Drosophila melanogaster: one gene and its partner. The protein of the gene in region 1 interacts with the protein of each later gene in a biochemical or structural test. Each region holds a gene or a part of one and is shown in the gene's direction. Other genes may lie near its edges.

Region 1 (7,243 bases):
TGATTCTTCCGTGCCGCCGTGGTGTCCGCATCCATATCCGTATCACTGCGCAGTGGTCGCAGTCGCAGGATTCCCAGTGCGCACCAAACCGGCGGAGCCCACTAGCATCGTCTATAAAAGGACGAGTCCTGCTACGGCCGGCGCTTAGTTGGCTTAGAAATGCGCCAAAGGAAGCGTCCGCCAAATCGTGACAGTCGAATAAAAACGCGCGCTATACAAAACCAAATTTCAAAAGAAACATTTACACGCAGTTACAAATAATTGGAAATGACACAAAATCCAGGAGGTAAGACGCGTTTAAAGCCTTGGATAATCATCAACGAGTTGTGAAACTGATTTTAAACTTCACACTCAATCAAATTTTGATAACATTATGTGTATGTTTTCTAATTTTAGTTAAACATTTTTTTAACAGTGTTTTAAAAACATATTTAAAACGTAGATCTTAACAAAAACTAGCGTGTTATAAAAATATAAGACTGTAGTTTCGTTGTGAAGATAGTCAAAATGCGAAAGATATGTGAGTTTGTTATCTCTTTGGCTAAAACAAAGAACGCTGATCAGAATTAACAGGTAAGTCGATATGGCTTTCAAGAGCTCAAAGGCCAGACAAATTCTTCCGACTTGAAGGGACACACACGCTACTCAGATTTATCTCTTTTGAATGAACTCTCGAAAATTAGCTTATGAAACTCAAAACCGAGGGCAAGAGGGACAGCAATGGGGTGTATCAATGGATAAAAAAGGCTGGAACTCGTTAAGGGGCAAACAAATGCCAAGGAATTGCACAGGATAAGACGATGATGAACGATGCTAAACTGGTTTTCAGATCTGCCAAGAATTTCTTCAGCTTTGAGTTTTCTGAAGACAGAGGAAGTCGGCTGCTGATAGTGGATTGCAGCAGATTCGCAGAGAATGCGAGTGAAGAGTTTTCAAGGATGAGTGGCCACCCAAGTGGACCCCTGTCAACTGAACAATCATTCAGAAATTGCAGCAAGTCGGCAGATCAAGTACTTAACCAACTTATTACCTTATTCTGACACGAATGTGGGAACTTTTCAAGAATAAGTTGCGAATTTTTTTTTTACCTTTTTACGAATCAAGCGTTGTTTTTCAAAATTTGGTGGTCAGTAGCCAACAAACTTCCGAGAATTCTTCAGATAGCAAATTAGAAAACCTTTCTGAATGGTCCAAATTCCACAAGTTCTGTCGGCATTTAAAAGAGTCGAATCGGTAACCCGATACTTTCCAAACAACAAAACTCGTAAACAGCCGAGCGAGCTAAGATTTCATAGGTGACCATCTACTATATCACCCAAACCATATACCATACCTCTTCCCACACACAAAAGCCATACACATATTTGTGCTTATCCACGTTGTGCATTTGTTTATAGTTAAATGACGTAACTTTTAATAAGGTTGACTGTTGCGATAGACACGTGTAAAACTAACCACAATGTAATATCTCCGATGTAGTTTTAAAATGGCGAAAATATAAAGTAAGCATTTAGTTTTAATATATACATTCGAAATACCTTTTTCCCAATATTATGCTTAAGAGCAATTGGCTTAGTAGAGTTGCAATATTTTTATATTCTAAGAAAAGGGTTAACCATAACAAAGGCACTGCTGAATAATTGAGGCCCTTTAAATAAGATGCTTTGTGGGACGCTACTCCTCGCTGTCGTATTATTTGTTTAGCATTTGCGGAATGTCTCTGGCCTCATAAGAAAATAATGTATTCAAACTCCTGCCGCCGTCCTTTCCGGAGTTAATACCCATGCCCCTCCACGGGGCAAGTCAGGGGCCCGACTCTCGCTTATTTAACGCTCACGACGCGATCAAATTCCTCCTGCCAACATCGCCGGTTGCCGGTTTCACTCCACAAGTGGCCTGTGTTCCCTGTTCCCGACCTATTATTATCGTAATGACGGGAGCCTATTTGCTTTTGTGTTTTCGAGTCGTCCAAACGAGAGACAATTATGTATTTCTACTGGAACTGACGAACCAGGGTTCCTGTTGGAGCGTCTGCTTGGCACTGTGAAAAATCTGGACGTGATCTTGTGTTCCTTACACGTTTAAGTAATACCGGTTTTAAATTACAATAAACTACAATAACTAAATTCGACGTTGCCACTGTATTGCACTGTACTGTATGTCATAGATGAACTAAAGGTAAACTTATATTTATTATTATTTAGAGAATTAGTTATAGTAATAACGACTGTAAAAAATTTTAGCATAGATAATTCCATCGACTTTTCTCGCAGTGCGGTATGCGATCCTCGCTGCGCGCTTTAAGTGTGTTTCTGTGTGTGTAGGGCCGCTGCAGGGGCGCCACTTTGTATGGGCGTGTGTGCGTCCGTGTGTTTGGCAGACATGGGCAAGGCAATGCAACTGATATGCCCTTGATCACAACCATTCATCACATTTTGCGGCAACCAAGACCGCGCTAAATGTCGATGTTGCTTCCTCAGGTTCTCCGCTCTCGACAGCATCGAGGGAGTTGAGTTTTTTGGCAACTTCAACAGACGTATTTAACAGGGGCTAATATGTACTGAGAGTTTTTAATTTGATTCGAATTAATTAAACCTTGTATGCCTTTTAAGCATTTACCTTTTAAGACATCTTAAATAAAATTTTAAGGTACATTAATCTTTTTTTAACTTAAATTATAAAATGCTCATACTGAACACGGCTTTTCAATTATAAACATATAGTTATAGATTTCTCCTATATTATAGGACAGCTTAGTATTTCCCACATAATTTGTCTAGGAAAACTTATCAATTTTTGAAATTACCGCGTTAGCCAACACTATTTCCAACGGCACTGCCAGCATGAAGCGAGTGTGGGTGTGCGTGCGCAGGTTGTATCTGTCCGCGGAAGCGAAACGAAACTCACCACGCCATAGTAGCCATCCAACGGATGCTCTCCACTCTCAGATGTCTTGGATTCTTTGGTTTAGCACTTGTAGTAGGAATGGGAATGTGAAAAATATGAAGATATTTTAACAAGTCTTTTCTAATTAATAATAAAACTGAAGTTCTTATACATTGTTAGAACGGGAACTTTATGTATGATTCTAATTTTACAATTTCTTGGTCTCTTAATTTTTCTCTCTCTCTCTAAACCTCCCTCTCCCAGGCGCTCTCTCAGGCGTTTCTCCCACGTTTATTCCCCACAGCTCCAAAGACTATCAATCCGCACAGTTAGCGCTTCGCTCATTGCCCCAACAATTTTCAACCGCGTCGCTTGTGTGTTCTTTTGCCGTTCGAGAAATCCAAATCCGAAAGATATCAACGAAAAGATGGATACTTGACGTATTGCCACGAGAAATTTTCCGAAATAACGTTATTTGTGTTCGAGACTGCTAAATGATTTTTGGGTTAATTAAATGACAAAAAAACGCAGTTCCTAAATATCGGACTTTTTCGCCTTTCCCCGACTCTTTTTTCGCAACATTTACGGGTTTTGTTTTTGTTGTTGTAAACGCGGGCGTCGTAAACAACAAACAAGTGCAGTGAAGTTGTTGTGCGCTCTAGAACTGAAATGTGAAGGAGGAAATACATAGAAAAAGTGTGAGTGCAGCAGGCAAATCAATTGAAGTGAGAATCGAAGGGGATTGGAAATCGTCAGGCGAAAATCTTTTATTTTTGCTGCTTGCTGTTATGAATTCTATGCATTTGTTTGTGTTTGTGTGTGCAAAGAAAGAGCGAGAATTCTCCGCCCGGATAACGGATCTTCGATCTCGTTTGCGTGCGTGTGTTTTGTGGTTGTGTTCGTGTGCGAATTAAAAATCAATGAGCATCGGGGGGAAAATGCGGGCCAAATAATAAGTGTGTTCAAGCTTTAACTGAGCAAATAACAGCAAGAAAAGAAATGCAATTGTTCGCCAGCCACGTACACACATTGTACCTGCACTGGCCCATACAAACAAACAAACGTATACGTATATAGCGGTGGTAGCGACGCCGGCAGAATCAAAGCAGAGCGCAAATCGCAAGCCAACAAAAAACACCTTTTCCACCACGTTAAAAATTGTTATTGTTTTCCGGCATTCGGCTACTTCAACATAATATTCAACCGAAATCAACACATTACTCGCACCTTATTAAATCCACACAAACGTACACATGCATAGGAAAAAGTGACTGACCAGCAGCAAAAAAAGAAAAAATCGACTGCGGTTACCAATCCAATAACAAAAACCCGTCGGCACGTGTTAAACAAATTCAAATTCGTTGCTAATAGTTTGTTTCTTCTGCAGTAAATGTAAATACAAATTATCAAGTGAACCTCTAAACATATCAAATACACCTACACATATCAAAAAGTAATACTACATAAGGAAAGGATTAAACGGAAACCACCTAACAAAAAATTTTAAACAGTAAGTACCTATTTCCACTCCTTAGAACTCAAAATCAAGCCGATTTGAAGAGGTGCACTCGTGATTATGCAAAATAGCTAAGTCAACAAACAAATGCTTATCACTCATTAGCGTTATTTAAGTTTTCATATTCAATATTTTCTGATGCGGTTTCGAAGATAATTTTATATTTTATATAATACCGAGTCGCGAATATCTGTTACCAAATCGCTATAGTTTCCAATTGGACTTACAATTACTCATGCTTTCATTATCAGAAAGTCCATAACTACGTATGTATATATAAATATACATATAAATTTGTAAACGTGAATTTGGAAAAAATAATCACTCAGCGGGTTTGAATAAAAATTCTTGAGTATAGACTGTTTTCAATTGATTGTTAAATGTGCGATATATGGCTTTTGAAGTGTTGATGTGCAATTTTTTTTTTTTGTATTGGACTTGCTCTAAATACTGAATTTTATGAACGTAAACAGCTCTCTCTATTGTTCACTGGATTACACATCTTTCATAGTTTTAAATGTGGAAGGGTTTTTGTTCCGGCTGACTCAAGATTGGTAAATATTTGAAAGCAAAAGTACGGTGGTATCAATTACTTTGCAATTTTGAAGCTAAAAACTGTGGTGCATACATCGCACATCATAAATAATTTTAGATGTATGTCCATATGTAAATAATTTATTTCTGTCGCTTTCGCATTGCATTTTTTATTATTGACAAATATTAATCGTGCAGTTATACGGTTTATGTGGAGGGAATGAAGGATCTTATAAATTGATTCCTATTATTAATTATGTTTCTGTTCTTGACAAAATAAGTAAAGTCCTAAGATTGGTCTCATAAGATAATGCTACTGTTTAAAACATACCTTTTTTTGTTTCCGATTGAAAAACTCAGATGCATTCTGATAAGTTCTAATTCAAAGCTAGACTTTAAGAACGCTAAGTTCTCGACTTGATGACTTTTCAGAAGAGTTTCGAGAGCGCCTTCAATTCTAATTCCCACCACACTCGCACTCTCTGGTGGTACGTACTCTTTTGAACCACGGCTGCGGTAGATTATTTCATACTCACCTCAACCTTAAATTGTTGATTCTTCAACTTGTCAAACCGGCTGACAAACCGACCGTCGCGTCGCTCGTCCCTGTCCGTGTGTCTGTCTAAGGTGAGCGTGTGTTGGTGTGGCGCCATTCCGACGACGCCTCTGCCGCCGACATCGTTACTATTATTTCTTTTATTACGTCAGTGGCGCCAGGCATTTCCCTCTCGCTCGCACGCCCGCCGCCCTGCCTTTTTTTTACTCTGCACGCAAGCATTCTGTATGTATGAGTGAGCGAGAGAGCGCGAGTGTGTTTGATGCGGTGTGTTGGTGTTGGTGAGCGTGCTTGTGGGGCTGACTCGTAATTTTGTTGCTGTTCGTCGCTGCTGTGCTGTTTTTTATGTTGTTGCCGTCATGCCGGCGGCGCCACTTTTGTCGTCGATAAGGAGCGCAAGAAATGCCAGCAACAAAATGGAAATAGTCGCATGGGCCACACACATACACAAACACAAGCGTATTTGGGCTGTTAATTTGCGGCGCTCTCCCGTTCGTTCCCCCTTACCAATCGTTCCCCCTTACCAATCGTTCCCCCCCACCATCGTCCGTCTCTTTCTCGCTGACAGCTGATGCTGCCGCACAGATCTTTGCATATGCACTGGCGTCGGCTGTCCGTTGGTGAAAGAGGGCGGGGAGGGGGTATTACTCACTCAAGCGATCCACCACTAGATTCCTTGCCTGCCACCAGGGGCGTAGTCTGGAAATCGAAAACGGGGAATGTAGCCTTTTTATAGGAAATGTGGCACATTCAAACAACACTACGCTCATTATTGATTTGATACATACATATGTATGTAAGTATGCACCTGCATATGTGCTCAGAGGGTTTAATAAAAAATAAAGCATTATGATTTTGGTATCTTTCAAATCAGATTCATCTACATACATATATTATTCTATTCAAAGAAAACAAAAAGTAGCAATATAAACATTGAATTAACAAGCCGATCGGTTTAGCTATGTATGTTTTGGTTACATCTAAATAATACAGATTTAGGGACCAGTTTAATTATGTTTTGAAGATTAGGTGCAGGCAAACCCCTCTCTAGACTCCGCCCCCGCTTTACTTAACCACGAGTGCATTTAACGATGCTCGGAAGACCAATTAGGCCAGTGACTAATCATCGTACTCCTCTTTCATTGCAGAGTGCACACCACTGGACAGTACATATCAAGCCCGTCGAAAGTATACATATCAACGAGTGATACGAGAAGTATAAAACAGTTTGACAAGTTCCCAAGTCCCCTGAATCCCTCGCCCGCCCCGAAATAAGTTCAAGTTCCCAGACACCCACCCGTGCAATCGGAGTAGCTAAGAAGAACACAAAGTGAACTACCGTGACTAGCCGGCCCCGTCGAGTCCGCGAACCAAGTTAGTCAACTACAAATAATGCGCATACAATAGGATCGATGTTACCGCAAAACTGTATGTCCCTCCATGATATTCCCAAGAGAAAAGAAGGTGTTATGGCGTTATGCGTCCAGCAACAATCCGAGCAATGGGGTGTCAGCAGCACCGCCCGCTCAGCCACCACGGCCGCCTCCCCCTCCACATCGACCCCGCCCTCATCAGTGTACTCCAAGCTTTGGTTATTCCTGCAACGAAGAGGACTCCTTGGCAATGCGACAGACGCCGCTGCCGCCTTACAGTTCGATAGCCTGCGGGATGGACTGCTCCAGCTCAAACTCCAGCTCCTGTGGCCAGAGTTTGAGTCTGAGTCAGGGGCAAGGCCACAACAACAACAACAG
Region 2 (6,409 bases), 6.3 Mb from region 1:
TTTTCGATGCGGTTGAGTGTTTCCTGGTCCTCCTCGGTCGTGAATCCTTCGGCTCCAGCCAAGCTGCCAGTCATCGCAGCATCAAGGGTAGACACTTGGAAAAGTCGAAGTGCTTCGTTCACGTGCTCATCTGTGGCGAACGGTTGCAAACGAATCTTTGCCAGCGACTCCGAAATGCGGATGACAGCCTCCAACTGACGCACAGTGATGGGAATGCTTAGCCGCTTGTCAGATGCCTTCTCCTGCTGGCCGGCTCCACTGCGCATAAGCACGTAGCGGCTCTTTAGCTTCTCGCCGGCAGCTTCGCTCAGGCGCGGACCGCAATGAGTTCGGCAGTAGTGAATATACTTCTTGAACGTCGACAGCGATATCTCACCCTCAGCCGGCTCTGAAGGCGCTGACTTGTTAGAGCTCAGATGCACGTTGATGATGTGCTTGGCCAGCGTAATGTCCCGCGACTCATCGTGAATATCCTTTACAATGAAAATCATGTCGAAACGGGAGAGAATTGTGGGCATAAAGTCAATGTTCTCCTCGCCCTTGGTGTCGTCCCATCGACCGAAAATGGAGTTGGCAGCTGCCAAGACCGAACAGCGTGAGTTCAAGGTGGTCGTGATGCCGGCTTTGGCAATGGATATTGTCTGCTGTTCCATGGCCTCGTGAATGGCCACACGATCATCCTCTCGCATTTTGTCGAACTCATCAATACAAACCACGCCTCCATCGGCCAGCACCATGGCTCCACCCTCCATGACAAAGTTACGCTAAAGATTAATGTATCATTTAATTTGTAAGGATTAGGTGTGCAATGTTTTTTCTCACCGTTTGAGGATCCTTCATAACCGAAGCCGTGAGACCAGCCGCACTGGAGCCTTTGCCCGAAGTGTAGACTGCTATGGGTGCCACCTTCTCCACAAACTTTAACAACTGTGACTTGGCAGTACCAGGATCTCCCAGCAGTAAGACGTTAATGTCGCCTCGACGGCACAGACCATCCGGTAAACGCTTACGAGACCCGCCAAAAAGCATACAAGTTATAGCTTTCTTGATATCCCGAGAGCCGAAGATGCTGGGCGCCAGTGACTGTGAGAGACGTTCGTAGATGTCCCCAGAGGCGGCCATTCGCCGGAAGTGCTCCTCCTCATCGGATGTGATGTTGCTGTATCGGGAGATGGCACCCGCACCCTCTGAGTCGACGGTGATGCCCACCACCCTCATGTAAGGAGCACGGACTCCAACGACGGCTTTCTCGCGACCATCCCGACGCGAGGGTTTGCCCACCTTGCGAATGGAGTATATGCCCTGGATAAGCACGCGATTGCCGGGCACCACGCGTTCACAGAGCGAGCGATCGCAGAAGAGCTGCAAGTGGCGGGGAATCTCACCCTGTGGCACAAAGTCGGGGAGCTCTTGCAACTTAAGGGTCTGGAAATCGACGCACTTGCACTTGTCCGGCATGATGAAGAAGGGGTCCAGCGGGCACTTGGGTCTGCCCGCCTGCTCCGTGTTGCACTTCCTGGGTAGGGCGTAGCCCTCCAAACCTGGATTCACTTTGAGATTCGGTATGACCGTGCTGCAGGACAGGCATTGGATAGACATCCGCGTAGCCTTGGCACTTATTCCTGAGGCTGCGACAATGATTCCGGCGATCTTAACCAGCTTGGATACGCAGTCCGACTTCAACTGTCGTATGTTGGTGGGATTCGCATTGGAGCTCAGAAGAATCTGGATGTCGTGCATATGTTCCTCGTGCTCCGGCCGGGGAGCTGTGATCTCGTCGGCTACCTCCCGGGCAGCCTCCTCGAAGATTTCCAAATGCTCCGTCGGCTGCTTGTTCAGCTTGTCAGCCAAGGTCTCATCGAAGCCCACCAAATCCTCCATCTCAATCTCCAAGAAGTAGCGACCATTAAGATAGTTCCTCTTCAGGGTGTCACTGCAGGGGGATTACCTTAAATGGGGTTCAGATGAGGAGATGCAGTTCACTTACCGGTATTTGTAGAAAAAGTTCTCCTCGTTAAATGTCCGGATGAACTCCTTGTACTTCTTCTTTACCGCCTGCAAGTTGATTTGCGCATCCTGCTGGTTATCTCCGCCGAAATTGTCCGAAAAGAACACACCCGCATCGTCGAAGCCTTCCATTTTGATAGGGTAAACAAAGTTAAAAAGAAGAACTGAGGTAATAGACGCTACTTCTGCTTCGCTTTATATTTCGTTTTTTAGTAAATGCGATGTGCGAATATTTTGCCGCCAAAATTACCGGGCAAGCGGTAGCTAGAGATGAGCACTTACCAGTAAAACTATCGGATCTTATTTACAACTATCGATGAAACGTGTTTCCCAGTTTATGTATTTTTGTTAGCAGTGAAATAGGACCAATACAACAAGCATTGCAGCAGTTAATAAACCATGAACGTATTTATTATATCTTATTGATGTTATGACAAAGATTATTTTACTCGATTATATGGAACATGCCTTAGACAACTGACTCCAATTCTTCCCAGCTCAAAAATACTAAAATTTCAGAAAAATCCAATAATATCGAGCTGGCGATATTTGTTTCCAGCTTTTGTGCGGGGGCAGTGTTGATAAGCGACCTTTTAAACTAGCGTGCTGTAGAAACAGTCCCATCATTTAGTCGCCAATTTTTCGACGTGAAAAACCAAAGAGACGCCGAAGAAATTAGAAAATGGTAAGTTTTGGTCAAAATGTGACGGCAATCGACAGGCCAGTAGCTGACGAACCCGATTCGCAGGCCAGCACAGACATTCCCATGGAGGCAGCTGTGGAATCGGCGACCGGCATCACGCCCAATTCAAATGCGAACTCAAACAATGTGGCGAAGAAGCTGCCCGCGGAGGGCTCCACCGGTGATAATCCCAATGCCAACGCCGACGAGATGACGTCCCGCGACTATTACTTTGACTCCTATGCCCATTTCGGGATCCACGAGGAGATGCTCAAGGACGAAGTGCGCACCGTCACATACCGCAACGCCATGTACCACAACAAGCATCTGTTTCAGGGCAAGGTAGGGTTAACTTCCGGGGTTTCCCCATTTTTCGTAGCCCTTCTCACCGGGGTATCTCCTCTTTGCAGACCGTACTGGACGTGGGTTGCGGTACCGGCATTCTCTCCATGTTCGCTGCCAAAGCCGGTGCTGCTCAGGTGATTGCCGTCGACTGCTCCAACATCATTGAGTTTGCCCGCCAAGTGGTCATTGACAACAATCTGCAGGATGTAATCACGGTTGTCAAGGGCAAGATTGAGGAGATTGAGCTTCCAAATGGTATTGAGGGAGTGGACATTATTATTTCCGAGTGGATGGGGTAGGTTTTCATTTGTAGTTAAGCTTTTAAAAAGTGGTCATATTTGATTTAGCATATTAACCATTTTAATTTCTTTCCTTAATTTAGTTACTGCCTGTTCTACGAATCCATGCTGGATACAGTGTTGTACGCTCGGGACAAGTGGCTGAAGAAGGACGGCATGATGTTCCCAGATAGGGGCACGCTGTATATCACGGCCATCGAGGACAGACAGTACAAGGACGAGAAGATCAACTGGTGGGACGATGTCTACGGCTTCGACATGAGCTGCATTCGTAAGGTGGCCGTGACCGAGCCACTGGTCGACGTGGTCGATCCCAAGCAAGTGGTATCCACATCTTGCATGGTCAAGGAGGTGGATCTGTATACCGTGCAAAAGGCCGATCTTAACTTCTCGTCCAAGTTCAGCCTATGCATCAAGCGCAACGACTTCGTGCAGGCATTAGTCACCTACTTTAATATAGAGTTCACCAAGTGCCACAAGCGTCTTGGGTTCAGTACGTCACCAGACTCCACATACACGCATTGGAAGCAAACCGTGTTCTACCTCGATGACCACATGACGGCAAAGAAGAACGAGGAGATCACTGGCACGTTCCAGATGAAGCCCAACGAGCGGAACAACCGTGACCTGGACTTCGTCATCGACATTAATTTCAAGGGCGAATTGTCTCAAATTCAGGAGTCGAACACATACCGCATGCGCTAGGGGCAGCCATAACCAATCCGATCTGCCATTTGGGATGGGGCTCAGAGCCCTGCAGCGAGGATACATACAATGACTAGACGTAAGGTTTATTCCAGTGCGAAATGTGCAACGAATTCGTGTTGCGTCTTCTCCTAAGTTTAAAGTGTACCTTTGTTAGTATACATAATATTTTACACTCGTGCGCCTGTTTAAATTATTATTCGAACATACTTCTAAGCAAGTTGTACAGCAGCACGTCAATTCTCACATAATAAACAGTGCACTAAGCACGTCCCCTTTTGCTGGAAACAAACTGTTTTTGATGATATATGAAACCAATCAAAACTCGCTGATTGTGCGTCTTTATTTTTTAGTAAAAAAAAAAAAGGAATTTCAAGAATGCATCGAAAGATTTATATTGTCATCTGAAGTAAATTTACTTGGATCGCAATCGACATAGGAATTCCTACAGAAAATACGGCCTTGGCCGGCTTGTTCTTTGATGCGACACTGCTTAAACGATATCCTTTTGGAAACATTAATGACGATCCCGAGAATCCGAGCGACTTCGACGATCGCGCGAGAAGCTGCGGCTGCGGGGCGATCGGGAGCGACGTGGCGAACGTGACCTGAAATAAACGCATTGGTAAAGAAGAAATGATTACTTAAAAGCTTAATAAAATTATTTAAATCAGCTTAGAATGGTAAGAAGTGTATGTACATACGCGCCTTACAAAGAGCTGCAAAATAGGAGTGTTAAATACTGCTAAATAGTTACTTAAACTAATTACCAGGGGGAACAAAAATGAAAGCTGTGCAAACTGTTTTGTTTCTATGAATTAAGCTGTGAACCAATTAAGATAAGAGTATTATTGCTAATGCTGCTATTACATTTAGCTGCTGCAATTACATTTACTATCTATTACCAACTGATATCCTATAATTAGAGTTTAAAGCTTTCTACTTTGTCGGATACATATGCAATAAGAAAATGGTCGAACAAATCTATAGTAGCTGTGATCATCAGCGTTAAACGCGTTCAAGGCCAGTTTTCTCGACATCAGAGTCAAGTACTTGAGAAAGCGGACGAACCCTCATATCATAGGCAACTAAATTAAAGAAATAATTGTAAGCAATTATTTGAAGGATACGCAGGATAACTTTAAAAAAGAACTCTTTGGGCGACTGCATTGCTTCTTCTAGGATGAAATCATTTGGGTTGCTAATCAAAACTTCTGTGAGGCTGTGACGCTGAACATGGTTAATTTAGAGTTGCAAGTTGAAGGTTGCTGGCTGTGGCTGTGAAGATGGTTGCTGTTGTAGATTGTTGATGTTGTAGAAGGAAGAAGTAGCAGTGGAAGTAGTTCTAGCCGAAGGAGTTATCCTGAAAAAGTGTCGATAACTCGAATTTAACAACCACTAAATGATTGGATCGTAGATAATATATGTATACAGTTTGTAAGTTTGGTCTAAATAAAGTACCAAGTCAATTTTTAATTAGAAATGTTATGAATAGCGATGTGATGTCAGTTGGACATGAATAAAACAGCCTGCGAAGAAGTACTCATAAAACTGACATTTCGAAGGCTGTTCTATCACGTGCAGAAAAAGGCGGGAAAATGTACATGTTTGCTATTCGCAATTAATGTTTTTTGCGACGATTCCAATGAAATTTCGATAACAAATTTTATACGTTTTGATAAGGATTGATTAATTTTGACGGTTACAGGCAAGACCGCCATCATATGCTTAGAAACCTGAAGAAAGTACCCAATTTTTGGAGTCAAGTGATCCATTGTTCCATTTGGGAGACACATTGAGCCAAGTAACATGAGAAGTACAGTTTTTTTGTCGTGGAATTACCTGTAGCGTCCGGAACCAGAGCGACCACTACTGCCGCCTTCTCCGCGCCGGCGATCGCGCGAGCGACCCGAAGACATCTCTACGCGAATCCTAGTGCCGCAGCAGCGTGTTCCGTCCAGGGCACGCGTTGCGTCTTCCGCGTCACGGCGATCCTCAAATTCGACAAAGGCGAAACCTGGTGGATTGCGGGCCACCCACACGTTTCGCAGGGGTCCATATTTGGCAAATGCGCCTTCTATCTCGTGCTTGGACGCCGAGGAGCCCAGGTTTCCCACGTACACCTTGCAGGCCAAGTCCCACTCCCTATATCGCGGCATTTTTGTCGGGCGGTGCGGTATCGTGAGTATTGCGGGAGGTGAGCAAGCGGCTAAAACACGAGTATACGGGTTACTTATATTATCCGTGCAATGAGCTGTTGTATAAACACTAATTTCCACACTTACCTTCTAAAATGTCATCCAATTTTGTTAAAATTTTAACAAAAATCTCCGCCTTTCCTTTATTTATTACAATTACCGAAAAGTGTGAC

Evidence for each region.
Region 2: of the proteins of Dad (region 1) and Art1, one has a biochemical effect on the other in vitro, tested with the Drosophila melanogaster proteins (one study listed by BioGRID).

The regions. Positions count from the first base shown.
Region 1 is NT_033777.3:17,050,779-17,058,021, forward strand, and holds the start of Dad (daughters against dpp), read left to right. Parts: upstream 1-3,228; 5' UTR 3,229-3,584; intron 3,585-4,118; exon of another isoform or gene 4,119-4,257; 5' UTR 4,258-4,396; intron 4,397-6,640; 5' UTR 6,641-6,932; coding exon 6,933-7,243.
Region 2 is NT_033777.3:10,784,395-10,790,803, reverse strand, and holds Art1 (arginine methyltransferase 1), read left to right. Parts: upstream 1-2,577; 5' UTR 2,578-2,689; coding exon 2,690-2,692; intron 2,693-2,755; coding exon 2,756-3,031; intron 3,032-3,099; coding exon 3,100-3,329; intron 3,330-3,416; coding exon 3,417-4,038; 3' UTR 4,039-4,323; downstream 4,324-6,409. Other genes in the region: Mcm5 (minichromosome maintenance 5), read right to left, coding at 1-764, 823-1,933, 1,988-2,139; Rbp1 (RNA-binding protein 1), read right to left, coding at 5,284-5,401, 5,881-6,197.